7 linked regions of the Rattus norvegicus genome follow. The protein of the gene in region 5 interacts with the protein of the main gene of each other region in a pairwise test. Links are inferred from orthologs where the notes say so. Each region holds a gene or a part of one and is shown on either strand. Other genes may lie near its edges.

Region 1 (3,063 bases), on a different chromosome or scaffold from region 5:
AGATGTCTGTCCACACAGGAATTTTCTACATGTGTGCCTACCGGATGCATGAGTGCCGGCGCCTATCCACCCCACGCTGAGCCCTGGGGCGAAACTTGCAGCCGGAAGTTACAACGAGGACATTGAAGAGGAAGGGGAGGACCTAGAGGCCGGAAGTCCTGGTTCCTGAGGGAATGAGGGGGCTCAGTCCTGTATTCTAGCCCCTGACCCCTCTGTCCTGTGTGGGGAGGAAAAGTAGGGTCAAGTGGGAGGGAACTGAGACGAAGACATAAGCCTCCACCTGCACTGAGGGGTGGTAGAAAACAGAAACTCCTTTAGAGAGTGATTTGGGAATCTAATAAAACTGATGTGAAACTATCAAAGTGTGAGTCGTTAAGGGTTGATTTAGAGAAAAGCAGGCTGGGGTGGGGAACAGTGTGTTCTGATATGGTAGCCTCATCCCTCCGTTATACAGGGGTGGGAACAAGATAAATGGGTCCTTACCTAGGAGATAGCCATGGTTTAATGTCTAGAAAAGGATGTGTGGGATTATAGGATGAACAAAGCTTACCTGCTCTTCACCCACCTATGCTCCAGGCAATTTATCTCTCCTCTGATCCCTGGATAGGCCCCCTCACTAGAGACAACACACAGCTCTATCCCCTCTCTATTTTATTTTACCTATTTTTTGGAAAGTCAGGGTCTCATGTAGCCCAAGCTATCCTTAAACTCATTATCCTCCAGCCTCAGACCTCCTGAGTGTTGGGGAGGCAGACCTATGCTGTCACATCAAGAGATGGTGGAAACATTTTGCACTTGCCTGTTGAGGTGTTTCCCACTACTGGAGGACATGACGCAGAGGCCCCCAAGTGACACTTTGTCTTCCACTTCTCACCCTCATCTTGGTGCTAAGACACCTATGCTGGAGGGTCCAACCGAGGTGGTGTGACTTCTCACTATATCTGTTAGATGAGAATGTAGGAAGGTCTTTTCCTCCTCAAGCCTTTTGGAATCCTGTCTGTCCTGAACAGAAGCTTTGACTAGGAATGTGGAGTCTCTGCTCACACTTACTCAAGTCCTTCTTCCTATGGGGCTGGTGTTTTGACCCCACTGCCCCTTTACTGTTGTAAACTCTAATGCTAGAGTCTAGGAGTGCAAAAACCACAGGAAAGTGTGACACAACCGTCTCCTCAGCCACATCTCTCCTTTCAGTTAATTCATACCCTAGTATGATTAGCCCACCTCCCACCTCTGCCCACCCCCTCCAAGTCCCTCCCTAAGAGCTTCCAGGAAATCAGTTGTCTCCAACTGTGGAGAACCTGTGACAATAGTCTAAACCACTACCTAGACCACGAGGGTAGACACCCCCAGAGCAGCCAGCAAGTAAAGACTTCAGCAGGGCCCTCCCCCACCACACAGGAGAGGAGCCAATCCGAGAGGGGAAGGGAAGCCACTCAGGAAGGGAGTGTGAGAAGAATCTGACCAGACACCAGGCCTAAGGCTACAGAGGATTCTCTGACAAAGTCACTGCTTGCTGGCTGTTTCTCTGGCCCAGTGGACTAGAAGTCCAGGTGCATGGCCTTTTCCTTTTTCTAAGAGCCAACACTCTGGGTCATCTGTGTCTTTGTCCCCTAAGAAGTGGAAACCCAGAGCTGTGTCCATGGAGCCCTACCGGTCCCTGGCCCTGCTTGCTGGCTGTCTGGGCCTGATTTTTTCACTGATTGCTCTGAGCACTGACTTCTGGATAGTGGCCACCGGCCCCAACTTCTCTGCCCACTCTGGCCTCTGGCCAACAAGCCCAGGGACTCAAGTAGCAGGTAAAGGGGCGATGGGCTCTTTGGCGGTGGGTATGGCTAGTGGGAATGGACACCCAGAATCATCGTCTCGCATTAGGTTATATCCACGTGACACAGGTCTGCTGTATCCTGGCTGCCCTGTGGGGCCTGGTATCCGTGAGCTTCCTGGTTCTGTCTTGTATCCCATCCCTGTCTGCTCCTGGCCGTGGCCCTATGGTCTCAACTGTCTTGTCTTTTGCTGCAGGTATGAATAGGATCTGGGCTGCACTGGGACACCTGGGCTGGTGAATACAAACCAGCTCAGCTGTCTCTTGTTCTTGTCCCCAGCTCTCTCCATCATAGTGGCCATGGCAGTGTACACCAGCGAGAGATGGAGCCAGCCTCCATCTCCCCAGGTCCAGACATTCTTCTCCTGGTCCTTCTACCTAGGCTGGGGCTCCGCCATCCCTTTCCTCTGTGCAGGTGACTACTCTAGCCTCTTCCCTGGGGGAGGACCATGATGAGGGCTGGGGCAGGGAAGTGCAGGGCACTCAAGTACTTAACCTCCCATCCCCCCCTCTGTCTCCACACCAGGCTGCCTGAGCCTGGGTGCTCACTGTAGAACCCGTCGGACTGAGTACGAAACCTTGTGAACAGAAGCCAAGGACATCAGGGTCAGCAGGATGTTTGGAGCCTTGTCCTCTCAGAAGCTATAAAAGGAAGGCAGAATTCTGTTTCTGTCCCTCCCACCTTGCCTTATCCCTCAATTGCTTTCTTCACACACTCAATAAAAGCATGCCGAGATCTAATTGTTCCAAGATCAGTTTAGCCAAGACCTAGACCTAGCCAGGCTTCTCACCCCAGTTACTCAGGTGGCTGGAGAAAGGAGCATCACAACTTCAAAGACTGCCTGGGCAACATAGTGAGTTCGAGGCTGGCTAAGGCACTAGGGCACCAGAGTGAGACCCTGCCTCAAGGTGCAAAACTAAAAAGAGAGCTTGGGTTATGGCTCAGTTGTAGAGATTTGCTGAGCATGAATGAAGTCCAAGTTGCATCCCCAGCACCTAAGTCAACCATACGTGAGCCTGAGCTCTCAAGGAGGGTTAGAACCATGCAGACCTACCTACCTGCAGCTTATTTTTGCCCTGTGTGGACATAATCTCCCTCTTGTCTTTAGTGTCTTTCTTTCTCCTGATTTCTATCTTTCTCTTTTCTTCCCCAAATGACCACCCTTCTCTGTGGGTCCACTCTGGGGACATTGATATGCACCACACCCAAGCTCTCTTAACCACCAGCCTTTGTCACAGGC
Region 2 (3,152 bases), on a different chromosome or scaffold from region 5:
GGATCTCTTTTAAATTCCCAGGTTGTGAGTGGGCGTGGTGCTCAGCTGTAGAGTACTTGTCTAACATATATCCCACTTGTCTAACAGTATGGGGGTGTGGAGAGTCCCAAATAGAGATGTCACGCCAGGAGCCTGGGGAACGGGGACGTACACGCATGTGGGTATGTTCAGATCAGGCCAGCAGGCTATTCAGGCTCCGGGATGGTCTGGCCTGGCTCTTGAGTTCCGTGATGGTAGGAGTTCTGGGGCACTCCAGGAGCAGGGCTGTGAGTAAGAGGCACGTTCTCTACAGTTCTTTGTGCTGCTGCTGCTAGTGTTCCTGCTGGAAGCCACCATTGCTGTGCTCTTCTTTGCCTACAGTGACAAGGTATGTTGCTGCAAATGGACAGACAGTACATGGGGTGCTGGGAGACTCGGTGCAGAAAGTACCACAAGCCCAGGGATCTACGTTGTGGCTCTGGTTGTATGGGTGGGACAACAGCACTCTTAATTCCTAGGATATGTGGCCAGGGTCCTCTACTAAGTACAGGTTGCTAAGTGTGGACTGTCCCAACAACCCCAACCCCCACTGCTGCTTACTGTGTGTCATATGTGACTTCCCATATCTGTCTGCCTGGTCACACAACTGGAAGGATTTACTCAGATATTTTAGGATCTTGGGTTATAGATCATGCTGTATTGCTAGCTCCTGTGTCCCCAACTTCCCCATAGGACCTCCTTTCTGTAAAGTACCCTTGGACTATAGGAAGCTCCCTGTACAAGCCGGAGTTGCCCTTCAGTGCCCTAGTTCCTTTACTGGAGACTTAGGAGTGGAGCCATACCCTCAGCTAGAGAGCAGACATGTCTGTCGGTACTACCAAGAAGACTGAAGTCCTCCCCTAGCCAACAGGGGGAGCCTATAGAGATGAGGCAGCAAAGGCTTGCACCAGGGTCCTTGAAGCCTCTGGGAGAACATGAGCCTGGGCTGTGTCCTAAGTGTGATAGGGTACTAGGGTAGGGGGTAATCCCAGGAAACAAGCAAGAGGTTCAGATAGAGGGGGTTTGGGGTATTGTCCTGTCTTGGACTGAAGTGGAGGATATTAACTGGTGGTCTGTTAACAGATTGACAGTTATGCCCAGCAAGATCTGAAGAAGGGCCTGCATCTGTATGGCACAGAGGGCAATGTGGGCCTCACCAATGCCTGGAGCATCATCCAGACTGATGTGAGGCTTGGGCAGCCTTCTTGGTATGGCGGACAGGCTGGCGGGGGTGGGTGTTGTGGCTATCTCGCCACCCAGTCCTTTGCTTTCTTCCTGCTTCTAGTTCCGATGCTGTGGAGTTTCCAATTACACTGATTGGTTTGAGGTATACAATGCCACTCGTGTGCCTGACTCCTGCTGTCTGGAGTTCAGTGACAGCTGCGGGTTACATGAACCTGGTACCTGGTGGAAGTCGGTAAGAGTATTCCCTCTTGTGGTGGGTGGTTGCAGGGGTGGGGTTCCCCCAGCTGATCCTGGCTCTCTTGCAGCCCTGTTATGAGACAGTGAAGGCCTGGCTCCAGGAGAACCTGCTAGCTGTGGGCATCTTTGGACTGTGCACAGCACTGGTGCAGGTGAGCTGAGCAGGGCAGTGCCTGGGACTCCTGACTGCAATGGCAGAGGACTTGCTCAGGAGCCTGTGACCTGGGTAGGCAGGTAGCAGTGCAGACTGTAAGAAGACAATGTTCACTGGGGGAGGTGACCTTTGGTATGCAGTACTCCCTGTGCAGAGCCCGTTGTCACCTAGTGGGTCAACACAGCCAGGCAGCCATATTGGTTGGTAGTGACAGGACCTCCTGTGCAGAATGAGGGTGGCACTTGATACCTTGCTGCCTCCAGGCCCCGCTCTTTCCTCCTAGGTTCACAGCCATCTATAGCAGTGCTGAGGGTTAGCAGAGTGGTGCTCCAGGCTAAGTGGAGCGCCTACAACCCACCTGGCAAACAGATACTCGGTTGGCTACGGCTAGGACAAGTAGGTACAGTGGGATAGGCAGAGGGCTTAGACCAGGCGTGCAGAGGGGTGTGACCTAATGTGCAGAACGCAACTTACCCTGGGGACGGCTTGCAAGAGTCAGGGCACCAATGAAGACCAGCCCTTCTGCCTATGGGCAAAGGCCTATGACCTCTTGTCTCCACAGATTCTGGGCCTCACCTTCGCTATGACCATGTACTGCCAGGTGGTAAAGGCGGACACCTACTGTGCATAGGTCTCTGTCACGGCCTCTGCTTCTCTGCCAAAGGACCTGCCCATGAGGAGATGTCAAACCCACTTCCCATGCAGGACTTGGTGCTCCGCTGAATGCAAGGAGAAGAGCTTGAGGCCACAGCATCCAGGACCCATCCCTGCACCTGAGGGACTCTGCTTGGGTGGCAGCAGAGACACCAGATTAGGGTTGGTGCCAAATGGCACCCAGGGCTAAGGGCCTGGGGAACTTTTGACACTTTTATATCCATATATTTCTTCTAGTGTTCACACAGGATGGGGTCCCCAGCCTTGCATGGATGCCAGGTTGGGGGCAGGCCCAGTCTGCTCAAGGCCCACGATGATCTTGGTGCTCCAGGCAGGTCCCATGATCCACATTCCATGACAGTGTCGTGGATCCAGATGCATCTTAATAAAGTGTGTGAGCAGTCCCTGGGTCTAGCTGGCACACAAAGGTTGTATAGCCACAGCCTCCAATTGAGGAAGTTCTTTCATTTTCCAAGGGTCAGGAGAGTTCAGAGCTCAGGGGAGCACTGCTAACCTGTTTTAGTTGGGGAAAGGTGTGGCCTCTTCACTCTCATTTCTTCTAGGCTACCTCAGTTACTCTTGTATTTCTCTCCTAGTACCTCTGCCTCTGGATTAGTCTGGAGAGACTGCAGATTGCAACACTAGGAAACACAGAGCCCTTGCCACTGACCAGAGTTAGAGTCATATAGAGCATCAAGCCACTATCAAGACATCAAACTAGGGGATAAAGAAGAGCCGTAGGTGAGGGCCTTTGACTACAGGGATGGTACTCTGGGGATGGGGATTCAGGTTAAGATGAGCTCCCAGGAGCTGTGAGGCACCTGACTCTCAGTCCCCATATCCTGCTGTCTGAGGGGCCTACTCTGTGACACAGTTCTCATTAGGGGTCATCCTTGTGACTCAT
Region 3 (3,996 bases), on a different chromosome or scaffold from region 5:
AAGAGCACTGACTGCTCTTCCAGAGGTCCTAAGTTCAATTCCCAGCAACCACATGGTGGCTCGCTACCATCTGTAATGGGATTGGATGCCCTCTTCTGGTGTGTCTGAAGACAGCTACAATGTACTCATATAAATAAAATAAATTAAAAAAAATGAAAAAATCATCCTATCTACAAAGTTATAAAGATTTTTCTCTTGTTTTCTTCTAGAAGTTTTATAGGATCATAGTTTAATAGCCGCCTCTAAGATTTCTCATGGGTATGGTAACACAGGCCTGAAACTCCATTCACAGGGATGAAGAAGCAGGAGGAATAGAAAGAAGTTCAAAACCATCCCCTTCCACAGGGTGAATTCCAGAGGCCAGTCTCTACAAGAGACCCTATCTCAAAAACAAAACAAAACAAAAACAACAAATAAAAACAAACAAACAAAAACCCCCAGGAGCCCTAAAGGTCAAACTGTGTTGGGGTTGGTGGGAGGGTGAGGCTTGGGTGTATTTATTGACCACCTATGTTTGTGAGGCCTTTGGATATAAACAAAACCTGAACAGCAGGAGCCCACAGACCGAGGAGACAGTGGAAGAAATAAGTACAATTAATTACTGGATTAAAGAAAGGGGTAGGGAGCTGCGGTGGAAGGGGGAGAGAATCTCACAAGGTCTGTTTTTCTCCCAGTTTTTGCCTCCCTACAGCTCCCTCCAGGTGGGGGTGCGCGTGCATGACGTCATCGGTGGAGCTAGGCAGCAAGGTGGGGGGGGGCGAGGAGGCTCTGCAGATCTCTTAGAGAGAATCATTCCTGAAGCCAGCAATTCAGCGACGGGTTCAAGGAGCCATATACAGTCAAACGGAGCCCCTTTCCTTAATTTTGGGGCAGACAGCGAAAGAGAAGAGGCAAATAAATGAGTAAATAAATAAATATATAACGATAAGGGTTTCCTGAATAGCGCTACAGTCCGGAGGGCTCCCGAAGGCGGAGATGCGTCTGCATTCTCCGTCCACACCCCGACTACGCGTTATTTGGCAAAAAGGTCATCCCGCTGGCAGGGAGCGCGCCCCACACTGGGACCCCAGCTGCACGCGCTTTCTGAGCGCGAGCTTCGGAGAGCTGCACGGGCGGTGCACGATCGCCCCCTGGCGGGGAGCCCCGGACTGCACAAGCCGAGCGCAGGGGAGGGGGGCGGGGGCGCCGCGCACGCGCACGGGCCGGTGGCGCGCGCCGAGCGGGGGGCGCCGCGCGGTGCAGCCACGATGGAAGGGGGTGCGTACGGAGCGGGCAAAGCCGGGGGCGCCTTCGACCCCTACACCCTGGTGCGACAGCCACATACCATCCTGCGCGTCGTGTCTTGGGTAAGGACACAGCAAGGCGGGCTGGGGCGCGGGGCTCCGGGAACTGGCGCGACCTCACCTGGCCCGGGCGGCCCTGCGGACCCAAGCGGATCCTGGCCCCTGCCACCGAGCTCCTTAGCCCCATCGCCGAGACCTCCAGGTTGTCGCTGCCCAGCATCTAGCGACTCGGTTCGCGTGCGCCCGTGGAGACTGAGCCCAAGTTCAAGGCCGTTTATTGGGGGCGCGGATCAGGGCGTGGATCTTTTTCTAGGGCGCACTGCTGCACCTGCCGCGCGCTTTCGGGGCGAGGACTGGGAACTAGGTTTTGTTGCTCACCCTGTACGCTGCGGAGCTCTGAGTCTGGAGCCTGGATACTTGGGTTCCGCCGAGACCCGTATCTGCTTTGCCGCGTGACCTTGGGCACGGAACCACCCCAAAAAAGACCAGGGATACGAGATATTCAGTTCCAAGCTGGGTGGGGAGCGTCACCTCTTATGTCATGCCTCAGTTTCTCGATTTATAGGGGTGGGAGGAGCTTCCTTGAGGCCCCTTTGGGCTCTGACATTTTATGAATCCGCAACTCTCTCATCCTCAGCAAACACCTGAATAGATTCTAAATGTTGTCTGGAGAAAGGTCCCTTCCACGCAGTGGGGAACAGGAAGGTCTGTCTGTTCGCAGTCTTTAGCCCACCTAGTCCGTGCAGGTTCCCCAGTGCTGAATGGGGCTCAGCTCAAACCTGGGGCGGAGGAGGGGGCAGAAACAGCTTGAAGGGTGGCACAGGGGGCTTTGCGCCCTAGGGTAAGGAGGCCTGTAGCTCTGGTGCCCTCTGGGGTTGGCTGGCTTCGTGGAGGGTCTTGCCTATGCAGGTCTGGGGTCCATTCCTGACTAAGACCAGAAGAGCCTGCATTGGTGACAAGGGTCAGGGACCCCTAGGGGTTAGTAACCGAAGTCAGCTGTGACCTGGGCTTGCTGAAGTGCACTCCTTTCCTGGTTTTCAGGGCCATATCAGGATCTGATGGGCGGGATGGCTTGAGATTTATTCTGGTCTTAGGAATCCTTTAAATTTCCTCCTTGTGGGGAGCCCTGTTTCTGTAACTCCTTATGGCCGTGCAGCCTATATATATCCGTGAGGGTTTGTGACACCGAATTTATTTATTCTTGGCCCTCCCCAGCTTGCAGAAGAAGCCCTTGCAGGCTCTAGGTAAAGTGGGAACCCTGGAGGCACCTGCCTGGTCAGGTGGGTTGACCTCGTACTGCTTCCTCTGACCTCTCTGGGGCCCCTGGCTGGGAGGTAGAAACTCAAGCTTTGTGAGGGGCGTGGGCGTTCCTTATGCTTGGGTCATTTCTACTGTTGATGGCTTCATTTAGTGAAGCTTTATTGAGTCTGCCTGGCCCGGAGGGAAGGGAAGGCAGCATGACTCAGGCTCGGCCCTGACGCTCAGGGAACCCACAGTCCTACTAGGGAGGGAGCCAGGACAGGGGTCTTCGCTGTGGAATTGCTGTGCTTCATGGAGGTGATGTCATGTTGATTCTAGTGACACAGAGAGGGCTTACACTTTAGGTCCAGGTAAAAGGAGGACATGCCCGCCAGGAGGAGGAAAAATTAACTAGGTCTAGCACCCACTCACTGATCTTGGGAACGGCAGACGAGCCTTGGAATTCAAGTCTTCCTGCCACCAGAGGACTGGGCTTCTGCTGCAGGGGGATGGCAAATTCTGTAGTCTCCAGATTGGAAAGGCTGTAAAGTTATCAAGTTCAGCCCCAGCCCAAAGCCCTTCCAGACCTCCCAGCTCTGCTCACACACCTGGACCCCAGTCGCTTTAAAGTTTTAGCAATGGGATGTTCTATAAGCTAGAGAAAAAAATGTTTTTTAAAACCTAGATTTAAAAAAGCTTTGGTCCTGGGCAGTGGTGGCTCATGCCTACACCTGGGATGCTTTAGGCAGGTGGATCTCGGAGTTCAAGGCCAGCCTGGTCTACAGAGTGAGTTCTGGGACAGCCAGGGCTACACAGAGAAACTTTGTTTCAAAAAAGCAAAAACAAAAACAAAACAAAACAAAAAAACAAAAAACAAAAACAAAAACCAAAACCACACCAAACCAAAACAGGTTTTGAGCAGTGGTGTATGCCTGTAATCTCAGTACTTAGGAGGTAGAGACAGATGGCTCAGAGTTCAAGGCTAGCCTCAGTTACATAGCAAACTGGAGCCAGCCTGGGCTACCTGTGACTGCCTTAAAGGAAGATAAAGAATTTTGCCCCCTTTCTGATTATTAAAGTAATACCTGCTTATTACTGGACAGCAACATGGGGTTGATAATACCATTGAAGTACACACTTCGGGTGAAGAGGGGCCTGGGGGTATGGCAAGTGTAAGGTCCTGGTCTCTATCGTCAGCTCTGGTGGGAGTGGACGGTGGGATGAGAAAGAATGAACGAGGGGGGCGGAGGGGGGAATGGGAAATTTCATGTTGTGCTGTGTTGTTTCTGTTCCATATTTTTGAATAGTCTGTGCTGTATAGACATCTTAACGTATTCTGGAGTGGGTCCCATGCCTTCTCTTCGTCCTCAGGTTTTTGCATCTACTGTGGAGTCTGGTAGCCCCATACTTTCCCACGGAGCTAAGAGAGCCTGGGCTCTGGGTCTAAGGTGACTGGTTTGCTCAGGTTTGCTCA
Region 4 (3,500 bases), on a different chromosome or scaffold from region 5:
GAGCCATCTGACCTGTTCCGCCTGCAGGAGTACAACATTCCCGGGGTGATCCAGTCGCTCGTTGGCTGGGTACGTGCCCTTTACACGAGTGATAGCACAGAGGAGTTTCCTCCAGAGATAGTAGCTCCTCGCTAGGGCCCTGCGCCTTATGCCAGGGTAAGGGTGGAGGAGACCTTTCCTAACCTCATGTCAGTTATCGTGTGGACTCCTAGAGGATCCTGCTTACTGAATAGTATGCACCTCTTTCCCTGGGCTGACATTTTCTTAATGACACTGAGTTGGTGGTTGTGAAGCTAGTGGCAGTGGATAGGGTTAGAGCTGCAGCACAGTGGGTAGGGTTAGCGCTGCAGCACAGTGGGTGGGGTTAACGCTGCAGCACAGTGGGTGGGGTTAGCGCTGCAGCACAGTGGGTGGGGTTAGCGCTGCAGCACAGTGGGTAGGATTAGCGCTGCAGCACAGTGGGTGGGGTTAACGCTGCAGCACAGTGGGTAGGATTAGCGCTGCAGCACAGTGGGTGGGGTTAGCGCTGCAGCACAGTGGGTGGGGTTAGCGCTGCAGCACAGTGGGTGGGGTTAGCGCTGCAGCACAGTGGGTGGGGTTAGCGCTGCAGCACAGGGGGTGGGGTTAGCGCTGCAGCACAGTGGGTGGGGTTAGCGCTGCAGCACAGGGGGTGGGGTTAGCGCTGCAGCACAGGGGGTGGGGTTAGCGCTGCAGCACAGGGGGTGGGGTTAGCGCTGCAGCACAGTGGGTGGGGTTAGCGCTGCAGCACAGTGGGTGGGGTTAGCGCTGCAGCACAGTGGGTGGGGTTAGCGCTGCAGCACAGTGGGTGGGGTTAGCGCTGCAGCACAGTGGGTGGGGTTAGCGCTGCAGCACAGTGGGTGGGGTTAGCGCTGCAGCACAGTGGGTGGGGTTAGCGCTGCAGCACAGTGGGTGGGGTTAGCGCTGCAGCAGCCCTGGAACAGGTCATTGCTTGCTTTATGCTACTCACTCTGCAGGTGCACACAAGCTAGTTATACTCTGGTGAGTGCCCTCGATGGGACTCTAAAATTAGTAACTTCATTAACATATTCCTGATCCTTGACACCGTTTTAATATTCTCTGTACTGAAATGGAAAATACACAGAAAGTATTTCTGCCAAATACTGAGGCACAGAGTGTCCCAAAGAGAAGGCATGTCCTGTTGTTTTAAGTTGTGAGCTCAGCTGGCTGCTCAGCTCTCAGGGTAGGGTTTCTGTTTGAAGATTTGGTTGTGTAACATAGTTTTCTTAAGAAGAATGACGTAAGTCTATTGCTTAAACAGAAGTGACTGATAGCAGTTGTTACCAGTGATAAAAATCTGCATTTCAGGTGAAATGAGAAGTTTGAAAGCATGCACCTATCATTGCGAGCATGATGGGTTTCTGGCACTTAGAAGCTGTTCTGACACCACATAACCAAGTGTCCAGCAGTGAGCTGGTATTTCTTAGATGACCGGGGTATGGTCCATAGTCATGTCTGGATAAAAGATGGACCCACAGTGCATTGTAGACCAATGGGTTTTGTGAGGAAGCACAAAACATCCATTAGGAAGATTTCAGCTTCAACATTGTACCTGCTTCTTTGGGGGGCGGTGATGGTGAGGATCTCACAATGAACTTGGAATCTTTCTGCCTTCTCCTGAGTGCTGGGACACCCCCTGGCTTGTAGCTATTTCTTTTCTCTTTGTGTGTGTGTGTGTGTGTGTGTGTGTGTGTGTGTGTCTGTCTGTCTGTCTGTCTGTCTGTCTGTCTGTGTGCATATATGTATGTATGCATGTGTGTGTCTGTCTGTGTGCATGTTTGTGTGTGTATGTGTGTGTGTCTATCTGTCTGTGTGTGTGCATATATGTATGTATGTGTGTCTGTGTGCATGTTTATATGTGTGTGTGCATGCATGTATGAATGAATGTGTGCATATTTACATATATACCTACATAAGCGTGGAGGCCCAAGGTTGATGGCAGGAATCTTTCTCAGTTGCTCCTTTGCCTTATCCTGGTGAGGCAGGTTCTTGAGATAAGCTTGCTCTGGGATCCTCTTCATGGTCTGGAATTACAGGTGGCTGCCATGCACTTTCGCCATTTACATGGATTCTGGGGATCTGAACTCCAGTCCTGCTGTAGGACTAATGAGAACCTTCCCACCTTACACCTCACCGTTACAGAGTTGTGCCTGTTAGGTTCGTGTGAAATACCCACAATCCTCAGAGAAGACTGCTAAACACTCATCCTTTTGCTGTCATATTCTCTGGGAAGCTAAGGCTGGGTTCTCTTCATAAGAAGCTAATTCCAGAGTTTCTCCTTTGTTTGTGACAGGCTCTTATGCAGTTTAGGCTGACCTTACATTCTCCCTGTAGCTGGGGGTTCCCTTGAACTTCTGATCCTCCTGCTCCTACCTTCCAAATGCTGGGATTACAGGCACATGCCACCACTCCAGACAGAATATCATGATGGTCTACTATTAGGCCAAACGTTAGAGATTTAAAAGCGTGGGCCAATTTTCTTTCTTTCTTTGTTTGTCTCTCTCTTTTTGTTTCTTTTTTCTTTTTTCTTTTGTTTTAAAGACTCATTCCTGGGCTGGAGAAATGACTTAGCATTTAAGAGTACTTACTGCTCTTTCAGAGGTCCTGAGTTCAAATCCCAGCAACCACATGGTGGCTCACAACCATCTGTAATGAGATCTGATGCCCTCTTCTGGTGTGTCTTAAGACAGCTACACTGTACTTCTAAAGAATAAGTAAATACATCTTTAAAAAAAAAAAAAAAGAAAAAAGACTCATTCCCTTTAGATGTATGAATGCTTTGGGTGCGTGCTTTTGTGTTTGCCTGCAGTACCAGTGAAGGCCAGAAGAGGGCATCACATCTCCTTGAAATAGAGCGCTAGATGGTAAAAAGCCACCATGTGCATTAGAACAACCCAGGTTCTGTGCTGGAACAGCAGGTGCTCCTGACCAGCAGACCGTCTTCCAGCCCTGCAGTCTTTTGGTTGACTGAAGAAAATAGAGACCTTGTTTTATCAAGTTCTTAATTAACTGAGAAGCCAGATGTGCACACTTGTTGACTTTGGTTTCGCTCACTCTCCTCAGAAAACCATGAGGATGTACCCTTTCCAGATCCACAGCATTGCGCTCTCCACCTTCGCCTCGCTCATTGGCCCATTTGGAGGGTTCTTCGCAAGTGGATTCAAGCGGGCCTTTAAAATCAAAGTAGGGAAACTTCCCCGCTGCCCCTCCCTTCTGGTCGCCCATCTCTTCCCTGCCCCGCTCCATCAACATTCACCCCTCATACCAGGTCATGCCCCCTGGCACTCAATGTATGTTCCTCTTGACCCTCATGCTGAATTTAGTTTGTTAGTTGTGCCCTGTGATCGCCTGAGCATTTGACCGCATGCCTCTGTCCATCGCCTTCTGGACCCAGCAGGGTTTGGTCATCGGGTGGATCCATTAGTCTGGAATTCGGTTGTTGCTGAGCACAGTCTTGCCCT
Region 5 (4,212 bases):
GGTGTGTTGGATGGCAGCTAACCTTCCCAATGAAATTCTCTCCACAGCTTTTCTGCCAATAGGCATTCACCTTCTGTGTGGACATCTCCACAGGACACGTGTCCAGCACTTAAAAGCCAGAGTTTTCTTATTTTTATGTGTATAGGTGTTTTGCCTGCATGTCTGTATAATGTATATGTATAATGTGTGTGCCTGGTGCCCACACAGGCTAGAGGACAATGACAGATCTCCTGGGACTGAAGTTACAGATAATTGTGAGCTGCCATGTGGGTGCTGGGACTGGAACTCACGCCCCACGGAAGAGCAGAAAGTGCTCTAAACCACTAAGCCATCTTTACAGCTGCCAATTAATTTAAAAAGTTCCTCCTAAGCTAGGTGTGGTTGTACATGCCTGTAATATCGGCACTTGGGAGGAAGAGGAAGGAGGTCAGGATTTCAAGACCATCCTTGGTTAGGGTAGTTTTCAGGACAGACTGAGTGAACTACAGAAGACTATGTCTCAGAACTAACAACTACCACCATCCTTATCCTAAACCCACATCAATCTTCTAGTTTCCACCCATTGGATTTTCCTAGGCTCTCTAGAATGATATAGAACATCTTTATCTTAAGTACTTTAAACTCTTTTTTTTTCAGAAATTAAAACTGAATAAAGTTAACTCTCATAGTCTCTGATAATGCTTGTCAAACCTGGACAGTAGCCAGGAGTGATGTCATACACTTGTAATCTGGTCCTAGGAAGCTAGAAGCAGGAGAACCAGGAATTCAAAGGCATTCTTTACCTACGACACAGTGTGAGGCCAGCCCAGCCTGGGCTTACAAGACCCTGCCTTACAAACCAGGGCTGGAGGGCGTAGCCAGTGGTAGAGCACTTGGTGAGTATTCCAGAGGTGCTATATTCCAATCCCAGGGGTAGGAGAATTATGGTATGCTTTGGCCAGTGTAAAGGAGGACAAGACAGTTACTGTCCTAGGGACGGAGCCACTATTGATAATTCCAAAACTCCATTTTCTTTCCTATTAACTACTATACTGCTCATTCATCTCGTAATGGCAGGAGAGGGATAGGAGAGGGTTTATCATGTGGGCCAGGCTTGCTTAAACTCAACATGAAGCGAAGTCTGGCCTTTAACTCCTGATCCACCTGTCCCAAATAAGTCAGTACATACATAACAAAAGAAGTAAGACAATAAAAGGGGCACAAAAACTAGATGCAGTATGCTTTCACTTGGGAAGTGACCTTGAGCGTGGGAGGACCTTCCTGCCTCTGCCTCTAGGGTTATGGCAGTGTGAGCCCCTCAAGTCCAGCTTTGTTACAACTTTGTTACAGCTTTGTAACAACTATTGTTGTTAGACTGCTTCAGCCTCTCCAGCATATCTACTCTACCACTGAGCAAAAGGCGAAGTCCCAAGATAGCAACGAAATCTGTCAAGGCCATCATTTGAAGGCCCTTTCAAGGCTCTGTTCTAAAGTTACTCTACATTTAAAAAATTATCTTGGGGCTGGGGATTTAGCTCAGTGGTAGAGTGCTTACCTAGGAAGCGCAAGGCCCTGGGTTCGGTCCCCAGCTCCGAAAAAAAGAACAAAAAAAAAAAATTATCTTTTGTACATGGGGGTCTCTCCTTCCATCACGTGGGTCCTGGGAGTTAAGCAAGGCCTTTTCCTACAAAGCCATACACTGATAATTTTGAAAGGAACGCCAAAATGTATATCAGCGCCACAAGACCAGGATCTACCCTGGTATCTGCTCGTCCCAGGTTCCCACTATCAGCTTCCATTCTGACCTCAGTCCTTTTGTAAGTGATCGATATGAAATAAACTGAGTTTGCCTACTTGGGTTATACAATCCCCCTCCAGCTTTTGCTCTACTACCAGAAGCCTTACCTTAGTGAGAGGAAGTGTTGAGGGCAGAGTGAGCCCCTCCTTCTCCAAAAGCCTTTTCTCTTCCTCCGTCAGTATCAGTGTAGAAAGTTCCTAAGGTTGGAGGAAGAGAGCAGAGTTGCATGGTGATGTCAGAGCAGTATGGGGGATTCTTGGCCGCTGCAAAGTGAGGTAATCCTGAAACACCAAGCCCAGTACCTGCTCTGCTGCTGTCTCCTCCACACGCAATGGATTCATGCGGAACCCCTCCTTTTCAAAGCTCCCAGGATCTGCAAAAGCGAAAGTAGGGCTAGCAAGTTCAGTGAGCTCTCTCTTTCCCCATAACTTAACATTTCACACTCACCTAGATCTATGGAGACGTGCTCCTGTGGAAGGGAATAGTTGTGATCATGGAGAATAGAAGAACTAGAAGAGTTGAGAACATCCGGCGATGACGAGGGACTGAGCAGAGAGCTCAGTAAATCCTCTACCTCCCAGTCGCTCAATTCTTGCACGGAGTTCTAACAAAATCAAAGGCCTTGTTTTATCTCTGTACCTTGGGTCTCAGGGACATCGCTAGCTTCCCCACTCAGAACACCCACCCACCTCGGAAGGCGACAGCTCCAAGTCCAGGGGAGTCTCTATGTCCTGCTCAGTCGCAGCCCACAAATCTCCACTTTCCTCTAGCAGGAAGCCCAGCAGGTCCTGATCACCAGGATCCAAAGCTAGCAGGTCCTGATCACCAGGATCCAAAGCTAGCAGGTCCTGACCACCAGGATCCATTTGGAATATTTATGGATAGAAACTCCTCTGCGCAGATCCAATCTCCGAACCTTAGGCACGACCCCTCAGTCTGTCAAGTCGCATCGACTTAACCTTAGTCACTCCCGGACCAGGGCCTAGCTGTTACTCTATATGCCACACCCGCCTCTCAGCTTCTATTCCCCTCAGCGTCCAACATAACGGAAGTGATGCACATAGTCCCGTGGAATCCTGGGACTTGGAGTTCCCTCCAACTCGGAAGTGGCTTGTGTAGTGCGCCACGTCCCAGGGGCTATGCAAATTATGGGGATGTCCCTTCAGCTTCCCACGCCCCAGGGCGGGGATTCTGAGGATCCGGATCCGCCTTCGCCGCGAGCTATTAAAAAAACCCTAAGAGTCTAAAAGGGAACTCCCGTTTAGTTCGGGCGTTCTCTCCAGTGCTCTGCACCCTCGCTTCCTGCCGGGGAGGGGCGGCCAGGCTTCGCGGGAGCCCGAGCATCGAGAGCTGCGGCCAGAGCAGCTTCCTGCAGTCTCTGCGACCATAGAGCGGACCGCCGGCGGGTGGGGGACGTTTCCAGGACGGAAGTGGACGAGAGTGTGTCGAAGGGAGGGCGAGGCCGGAGCCCCAAAGCGACCGGGAGAACGAGCGGGTAGCGGGCCCAGGGCGGGGCGCAGAGCTGGGCAGCGCAGGTAGGCCGGACGGGCTGGGCTGAGGTTCTAGGTGGGGCTGCGGGATCAGGCCGGCCCGGGAAGCGGCGGGCGGGGCCCCCAATCCTCTTGCATATCCTGTGTCCGGTTGGGGAGGTCAGGGTACAGTACGTTTCAGTTTAGGTTTGAAATTAAGCCAGCCGTGTTGCGAGAGACAGGCCCTTTTCGCGGGAGTAGACAGTTCTCTGTCTCGGATAGTTTTTGGGACGGGTAGAAATGGGGTGGCAGTGAGGCATTGGGCGGGGATGGGCTTTGGTGTTAGCCGATAGTGAGTATGTGGTTAGGAAAACTTTGGGTGAGTTTGAGTTAGGTGCGTCGGGTTTAGGAAGCAAGGATCCCATTAGAAGTTAAGAAGCTGGACTACATTTTAAACATGCATGAGTCAAGTCTCTTTCGTGTTTGTGACATTTAAACTGAGGTCATTATTTTCTGGAATGACCAGCATAAGTCAGTGTACAGGATCGGGTTAAGGATCAACAACAGGAATTGGCTTAGAAGCTCGTTTCAGGGATTAAAGGCCATTGTCATGGTCAGTATTAAGAATAAACAGTGAGAAGGTGAATTAAGAATCAAGGTAGAAATGAGCTTTAGGACTGGGGAGAGGGGCAGTATTTAGGGTTAAAGTTAGGGGATTTGGGCCTAAAAATAAAAGCCAGATTAGTATGGTTGTGTGCTAGGAAAGGGGTAAGTGTCAAAATATAGGGAATTAGGATACAAAATAAAGTCAGGATTAATGTTAGGAATTAGTGATAGCATCAGAGTCAAGGCTGCAGCTACAGCTGAACAGGTAAAATGTAAGAAGTTGGGCAGCAAGTAGCTGCCTTTGTTTTGTAGTGAGCTCTCTTATTCCTGTGTGATCACAGAGGCTCCTTTTATCCAAAG
Region 6 (4,183 bases), on a different chromosome or scaffold from region 5:
AGAGTAAGTTGGCTTAACCACTGAGCCAACTATCTTTCCAGCCTCAGAACCTAAGATTTTTAGAACAAATCATTGATGTTTGTATAAGCCTTCCTATGGATGGGAACTGTGAATTGGATGCGTTAAAATAAGGACCTTTCAGTGTTGGTACTAAACTCTGTTTGAGTGTTAAGGGGGAGGGGAGCGCTGGAAAAATGGCTAAGTAAGCAAAGTTCTTGCTGTGCATGAAAGCTCCGGTTCAGCACCCACACAAAGAACGGGGCATGGTGGTGGCAGGAGCCTTTAATCCCAGAACTGGGTAGTGGAGACAGGCAGATCGGGTTAGTCTAGTCAATCAGGTTCACTGACATGCTTTACCTTATTAAAGGTGGAGGGGCTAGAAAGATGAGGCAGTGGGCTCTTCTGGGATCAAGGTCAGTAACGGGAAAACCCTGTTGAGTTCCCTCTGGAGTTTCAACTTTTCTGGCTTCCCAAGAGTCATGAAACCTAGTTCTAAACCTTCTCCCCACTCCCCTTTCTCCTATCTCCCACTGGGAGATATATTATGACCATCTAAGTTCATACCCTAAGTTTCTCTGAGCCCCTATCGTTCCTCGACTGTTTCCCGTATCAGCACATAGTATAAAGGCTTATGTTGAATTCCTCCCAGAATGCAATGCTGCAGGATTAAGATGGGTTAAAGATCGGCAGAGAGAAACTATGGGATACCATAAGATATTTCCATACTCCAGAAGCCAAGGAACCAAAATCTCCACCACAGATCAAGTAGCTATGCAGCGCAGGCGCAGGCGAGTCTCTGGAGGAGAGTGCCCAAAAGTGAGTGCCAGCACTCGGGAATCGCTTCTTGAACTGAGATAGCTGAATGTTTACAAAATCCTTAGGTGGGTAATAAGTTATCTCCCATTTAACACCAGTGAGAACTGGGGATGAGAGCTCAAGAGACCTGTTCAAAGTCAGGAGCGGACGCGCGACCTCTACCCTCGACATGACCTCCCTGGCAGGCCAACATGGAGCCAGTCTCGGCTAAGCTCTACCACCCAGATTCGCTACCTGGAGCACACAGGCCGACTGCAGCAGACATGCACCCAGATCCTCCTTCACGCCCGCACACGCGCCGCCCTCCGGCTTGTCCTCATAATACCGGGGCATGGCGGGGCCCACCGCCCTCACCACACCAGATCACGGCCTTCGGTCACCCTGGACCGCCCGAAAGGGCGTGGGCTACGCCCACTGACAAGCTAGAGGCGAGAGTAGGAGAAATCCTCAACTTCCGGCGGGATTGTGACTCTTCGGGGTATGCGCGTGCGTGGCGGAAGTGCGTGTACGTGACGTAAATACAGAGCGCCGCAAAAGTGCGGGCTACGTAGAGGCAAGGGAAGTGGCCCCAGCGGCGACTGGGCTCCGTACCCGGCTAAGGTGGCGGTAGTCTTGGTCCCAAGGCGAGGCCTCGTGGGCCTTCAGGTGCGGCCTGCTCTGTGTGCGCGGGGTGGCGTTCGTGCCGACGGCCGTTTCCACGGTCAGTTCGCAACCTGGCATCTGAGCGGCTGGGGGTAGGACCAACCAGCGCCCCGCAGCTCAAGTCCTAGGCCCGCCGTGAAGCTGCTGGGTAAATCCAAAGACGCCCGTTTACGTTGGAATCGCAGGATTAGAGCCGTTTTAAGAGTTCTAAGGAGGTCTAGAATTTTGCACAGGAATCACACACCTTGTCACCGCTTGTTCTTAACTGAAATGTCACTGAGCCGTCTATATTTTTTGTTGACAGAGGCTTGGGGTAATGGAGACCTGCTGGCGGGGCGGGGCGGGGCGGAGTGCCGCGGTGTGCTGGTAGGCTGGGCGGTGACCAGCAGTCACTTAGCTTTGGACTAGTTGGACTGGACCCTCCCGCGCAGTTATTCCTCCTACCTGGCTATTCTAGGAGTAAAACCATCAAGGAATGGAGTTTGCTTCGTTTTTGATGTCACATTCTGAATAGCCAGGAGCTTGCTGGCCATCGCTGATGGACTTGTACAAATCAGCTGTGTGTCTTACCTGTTCAGTGACCCTACTTTTAGCTTAGACTTTTTTGTTCTTGTTTTAAAAATCTTGGTCATTAAAAACATGGAATTTTTGAACCAGTGTTCCAGTCATCACACATCCCTATATTGCTTTTATCTTGGCCTCCATTATCAGTAGTAAGCAACTACAGCTGCCAAAGGCTTGATTGACATGAAGGTTGGGAAACCGTGGACTCGAGTTAAGTAGTTTCAGGAGATGCAAGAGAGCATGATACTGCCTTGATGGTTTTAACACTTGGCTGGTCCTTAATCCTTTCTGAAGGTGACAGGAGAAAATGTCATAGCTCTGAGGAGTGTTAGTAGCTAAGCATTACATTTAAGATTGCATCTAAGAGAAATGTTTTCATTCCATCTAGGAAGATGCTACCAAGTACTTCTTTGAATTCTTCGATGTACGGGAATGGAGCTTTAAATTCCAGGGATGCAGCAAGACACACAGCTGGAGCAAAACGCTACAAGTACCTCAGAAGGCTTTTTCGCTTTCGGCAGATGGACTTTGAGTTTGCGGCATGGCAGATGCTCTACCTGTTCACCTCCCCTCAGAGGGTTTATAGAAACTTTCACTACCGGAAGCAAACGAAGGATCAGTGGGCCAGAGATGACCCTGCCTTCTTGGTCCTCCTAAGTATCTGGCTCTGTGGTAAGTGTGTCTCAATTTACAATCAGTATAGTTGAAAAACAAATTGGGGTTTTGGATGAAAGTTTATCTTCTGTGATAATGTAGAATGGGTCAGAATCTTGGGGTGTGTGAAGCTATGGGGTTTGTCTTTTCTAAAACGTTAAGAAGCTGGCAAGAAAGAAAGTGTTCTTCCTAGTGCTGGCTTTGACACACGCCAGAGTAAACTACTGTACCGGGGTGTGCAAAAGTAGGGGATGGGATTCATCCCATAGTTGGGTTTTTCCTTCTCTTTTGAGACAGCTTCTAGATGGGTGGGTCAGGCTGACCTGGCACTTGGGATGCTCTTAACTTGGCCTCTTAATGCAGGCATGTTCTACCACATTGGCTGACTTTAAAAAAAGACTAATATAACCCAAACCCAACTGCGTGCCAAGAAATGTTAGGATAGGAACTATGTTTCTTTTTTTTTTTTTTTTTTTTTTTATGGTTCTTTTTTTTCGGAGCTGGGGACCAAACCCAGGGCCCTGCGCTATCTAGGTAAGCGCTCTACCACTGAGCTAAATCCCCAGCCCCAGGAACTGTGAGGCTGGGAGGTTGTTGTCTGTCTTGTTTGATTTTTGGCAGGAGGAGGGGCACGGGTTGGTTGGACCAGCAATAGAAACCAGTGGCTTGAATAGACCAGGCAAGTGCTCTACCACAGAGCTGCACCCGCAGCTTTCAGAGTAGGGTTCTGAAAATACTGATTGAATTTGAAAAGAACCTTTAAGTTCTCCAGGACATCAACTGGAGTACAGCAACAGTCCCAGTCAACTAGAGGGTGTTGAAGTATATAGTAGGTACCTTTCACATTTACCTGAACTTTAAGTTGAGTGCCGTCTACACAGGTGTTCTGAGTCCCCTGTGTCCTGGTGAACCAGTCCTTGAGCCCTGCTCCTTTCCTGCATTCAGAGGTGGCATTTATTTCGACATCAGTTGCATGTACCTTGTGAGGGTTTTCGTCACTATGTACCACCTCTGCTACACTGGGCGTGTGGGTGCCAGGGACTGCCTAGTACCCAAGAGCCTGGCAGTGAATCTTGTAACTCTTTGTTTCAGTGTCCACCATAGGATTTGGCTTTGTGCTGGACATGGGATTTTTTGAGACAATAAAGCTGCTCCTGTGGGTTGTGTTCATAGATTGTGTAGGTGTTGGCCTTCTCATATCAACTTTAATGTGGTAAGTACCATAAGGGGGTTCATACATACTGCCGAGCCCGTTTGTTTACATCAGAAGTACAGCAGCTAGTGAAAAATCGAACCCAACATAGAGTAGCTGAAGTGACTGGATTGACTGCCAGGATTATTGTAACTCGGCTCCTGTGTCTGTACTAGGTCAGAAAATAATCCGTGCTTACTGTCATTGTAGCAAATCCCAAAACGGTTATACCCTGCTAAATTCTGATTTTCTAATATATATGATTCCATTTGCGTCTGGTTAGCTTTGTCACTACATTTGTCATGGGTACCATTT
Region 7 (2,160 bases), on a different chromosome or scaffold from region 5:
TTTGTCCCAATGTTCAACGGAGGCATGGAATGGCACTGGCTCTGGGGACTGAGCATATGGGTGCAGCTATGTAAACTTGAGCCTTAGCGGAAACACTGCTAAAGCAAATCATGGATGCTGTCTCCCCCCAGCCTTCTAAGCAGGTGGAACAACCTCGTGCAGCAGCTGGAGGCAGCCCTGCAGCCGGTCTTCTACCCGGACGCCATTGAAGAGTGGCTGGAGGAGAATGTGCTCCCCAGTATGCAGCGACTGCAGGGTCTGCTGCAGGACCTGGGTGAGGCGGCCGCCCAACAGCCACCACCCACCAGCCCGGGCTGGGACACAGGCCAGAACCCCTGAGGGGCCAGGGCCCTGTATATGACTTTGGACAACACCAAGATTTCTCTCAGTGGCCCAGCCAGGCGGGGCCTGTGCTCCTCCTGCGGAGCCCTACGTAGACAGGTTCTCCAGCTGTATGAACAGTAACCTTGGGTGAAGCAGAAAACAGAAAGGCACATTTGTAATTTGCACGTAGAGCTTTATTACTTCTGAAATAAAAAGACCAGGAAGTGGAAGTCCCACCAACAGAAACTTGGATCAACTTTTTACCACCATAGAGAATTTCATGCCTTCACCAAGGAATGAGTCTCAGCACTGGGCAATATTGGAAGGGGATATGACAGCACCTAAGAGACAGACTCCTCCTTCTCTTGTCTAAAGTACCTTAAGAGTCTGTGGGCAACAAGCCAAAAACCAACAAGCTATATTTCACATTTCATCTGGGGAGAAAAATCTCTAACTTAACCATTTAGAAAGCTCACTTTAGCATGTTCAAGGGACCATGTTCCCAAGTTGGGACTAGTAGCAGTCACCTCAGAAGACCTGTTCATAGTTCTTGCCTAACTACTGTGCTCAGCCTAGGGGCAGTAGCCTCAGGGCTGCCTTAACTTCTTTGTCTATGTAACTCTTCTATTTCCCAGGTCTACCTGATGAGGTATGGGTATACGGCTTGGAGGAGCTCTGTGTAGACCAGAGATCCACAGCTTCTAGCTGGAAACTTAGTAAACAGTGTACTTTTGAGGGACTTGAGTCGACTCAGAAGGAAACTAGAAGAGCAGAAAAGGACCGTAAGTGGTTGGTACCAACTTTATTAGAAGAGGCCATGGCCCAGGCTGGCCTTGAACTTTCTTCCCGCCCCACTTCTGAACACTGGGATTGACAGGGCTGTGTCTCCACATGCCTATTTTCTTCAGGTCTTTTCAAGGCTTGAAAGGCTAAGACTCAGTTTCTGTAAAGGAGCTCCCAGGTCTTAAAGACAGCAGGATGCCAAAAACCAAAAGAGGTGACCTTTCCTCCAGTAGCAGCTTCTTCCCTGGTTGGGTTGGGAGAGCCTTCCATTCCTGCTGTGCTACAACAGTGCTGGGATCTCAGACAAAGTTGTCTGAGAAGGAACAGGGTAGTCAGCAACACTCTGATTTCTCTGAGAGTTCTGTGGCCAGGCATTCAGCATCCATAGTTGCCTTCAGGGAAGCTCCTGACCACCAAGGGTGTCCATCTTGAGGGATGGTCAGGGAGAGTAAACATCAGTGTTTACAGGAGTGGGTCCTTCCTACCTGCGTGTGGGTGTCTCACTCTCACTATGAAGTGGAGTCTTGCCTACAATATCCTGGGGTGGCAAGGCATCTTGAAGGCAGGCACTAGGCTTATGCTGAAGAAAGCTTGGCATCTTATACTTCAGACTGCCCTTGGGCGAGCTTATGCAGACCCGGCTGTGCTGCCCAACCCAGAGCGGCCACGGGGAAGGCACTAACTTCTGAGACCTCGCCCTCCCCTGGATGTAGCATCCACCCCCTGCATCCTGACAGATGCAGCCTTTCTGGGTTGTGGGAGAGGCCTAGCCCATGGTTCTGCAAAGTGTAGAAGCGTAAACAAGCAAAAGGCGGGTAGTCTGTAGTAGGACTGCCCAAGGAGCCATAGGCGGGTGTCCAAGGTCTGCCTGTACCCTTATAATTGGCAAGTCAGTCGGAGACGCATCGGAAGTGGGTGACATTCACCAGCAGCCATTCCACACTGTCAGCTCTGGCCACCAGGGCCATCAGGTTCACTGTCACTGCTTTGTGACCGTTCTGAGGGGCTCTCCAGGCGGTGCAGCTCCAAGAAGCTAGTGATGAGTTTGGCAAT

The links.
Region 1: the proteins of Creb3 (region 5) and Nkg7 interact in a two-hybrid assay, tested with the Homo sapiens proteins (2 studies listed by BioGRID and IntAct). The two-hybrid records come from large-scale screens. The link is inferred for Rattus norvegicus from reciprocal best matches to the Homo sapiens genes CREB3 and NKG7.
Region 2: the proteins of Creb3 (region 5) and Tspan4 interact in a two-hybrid assay, tested with the Homo sapiens proteins (2 studies listed by BioGRID and IntAct). The two-hybrid records come from large-scale screens. The link is inferred for Rattus norvegicus from reciprocal best matches to the Homo sapiens genes CREB3 and TSPAN4.
Region 3: the proteins of Creb3 (region 5) and Syngr1 interact in binary tests that used the Homo sapiens proteins (3 or more experiments, as listed by UniProt). The two-hybrid records come from large-scale screens. The link is inferred for Rattus norvegicus from reciprocal best matches to the Homo sapiens genes CREB3 and SYNGR1.
Region 4: the proteins of Creb3 (region 5) and Cds2 interact in a two-hybrid assay, tested with the Homo sapiens proteins (2 studies listed by BioGRID and IntAct). The two-hybrid records come from large-scale screens. The link is inferred for Rattus norvegicus from reciprocal best matches to the Homo sapiens genes CREB3 and CDS2.
Region 6: the proteins of Creb3 (region 5) and Unc50 interact in a two-hybrid assay, tested with the Homo sapiens proteins (2 studies listed by BioGRID and IntAct). The two-hybrid records come from large-scale screens. The link is inferred for Rattus norvegicus from reciprocal best matches to the Homo sapiens genes CREB3 and UNC50.
Region 7: the proteins of Creb3 (region 5) and Cybc1 interact in a two-hybrid assay, tested with the Homo sapiens proteins (2 studies listed by BioGRID and IntAct). The two-hybrid records come from large-scale screens. The link is inferred for Rattus norvegicus from reciprocal best matches to the Homo sapiens genes CREB3 and CYBC1.

What each region holds. Positions count from the first base shown.
Region 1 is NC_086019.1:102,980,002-102,983,064, forward strand, and holds Nkg7 (protein NKG7), read left to right. Parts: upstream 1-1,495; 5' UTR 1,496-1,639; coding exon 1,640-1,796; intron 1,797-1,872; coding exon 1,873-2,019; intron 2,020-2,102; coding exon 2,103-2,237; intron 2,238-2,348; coding exon 2,349-2,407; 3' UTR 2,408-2,563; downstream 2,564-3,063. Other genes in the region: Lim2 (lens fiber membrane intrinsic protein), read left to right, coding at 19-80.
Region 2 is NC_086019.1:206,018,731-206,021,882, forward strand, and holds the end of Tspan4 (tetraspanin-4), read left to right. Parts: intron 1-292; coding exon 293-367; intron 368-1,101; coding exon 1,102-1,203; exon of another isoform or gene 1,204-1,226; intron 1,227-1,303; coding exon 1,304-1,435; intron 1,436-1,508; coding exon 1,509-1,592; intron 1,593-2,156; coding exon 2,157-2,225; 3' UTR 2,226-2,652; downstream 2,653-3,152. UniProt on the Homo sapiens protein: Structural component of specialized membrane microdomains known as tetraspanin-enriched microdomains (TERMs), which act as platforms for receptor clustering and signaling.
Region 3 is NC_086025.1:113,515,070-113,519,065, forward strand, and holds the start of Syngr1 (synaptogyrin-1), read left to right. Parts: upstream 1-1,196; 5' UTR 1,197-1,247; coding exon 1,248-1,346; intron 1,347-3,996. UniProt on the Homo sapiens protein: May play a role in regulated exocytosis. Modulates the localization of synaptophysin/SYP into synaptic-like microvesicles and may therefore play a role in synaptic-like microvesicle formation and/or maturation.
Region 4 is NC_086021.1:140,002,370-140,005,869, forward strand, and holds part of Cds2 (phosphatidate cytidylyltransferase 2), read left to right. Parts: coding exon 1-69; intron 70-3,102; coding exon 3,103-3,222; intron 3,223-3,500. UniProt on the Homo sapiens protein: Catalyzes the conversion of phosphatidic acid (PA) to CDP-diacylglycerol (CDP-DAG), an essential intermediate in the synthesis of phosphatidylglycerol, cardiolipin and phosphatidylinositol.
Region 5 is NC_086023.1:62,612,240-62,616,451, reverse strand, and holds the start of Creb3 (cyclic AMP-responsive element-binding protein 3), read right to left. Parts: upstream 2,801-4,212; 5' UTR 2,644-2,800; coding exon 2,467-2,643; intron 2,382-2,466; coding exon 2,225-2,381; intron 2,151-2,224; coding exon 2,080-2,150; intron 1,975-2,079; coding exon 1,885-1,974; intron 1-1,884. UniProt on the Homo sapiens protein: Endoplasmic reticulum (ER)-bound sequence-specific transcription factor that directly binds DNA and activates transcription. Plays a role in the unfolded protein response (UPR), promoting cell survival versus ER stress-induced apoptotic cell death.
Region 6 is NC_086027.1:47,159,435-47,163,617, forward strand, and holds the start of Unc50 (protein unc-50 homolog), read left to right. Parts: upstream 1-1,383; 5' UTR 1,384-1,606; intron 1,607-2,410; 5' UTR 2,411-2,414; coding exon 2,415-2,694; intron 2,695-3,768; coding exon 3,769-3,889; intron 3,890-4,183. Other genes in the region: Coa5 (uncharacterized protein LOC503252), read right to left, coding at 1,051-1,149. UniProt on the Homo sapiens protein: Involved in the cell surface expression of neuronal nicotinic receptors. Binds RNA.
Region 7 is NC_086028.1:106,996,522-106,998,681, forward strand, and holds the end of Cybc1 (cytochrome b-245 chaperone 1), read right to left. Parts: coding exon 2,053-2,160; 3' UTR 501-2,052; downstream 1-500. Other genes in the region: Hexd (hexosaminidase D), read left to right, coding at 132-339. UniProt on the Homo sapiens protein: Functions as a chaperone necessary for a stable expression of the CYBA and CYBB subunits of the cytochrome b-245 heterodimer. Controls the phagocyte respiratory burst and is essential for innate immunity.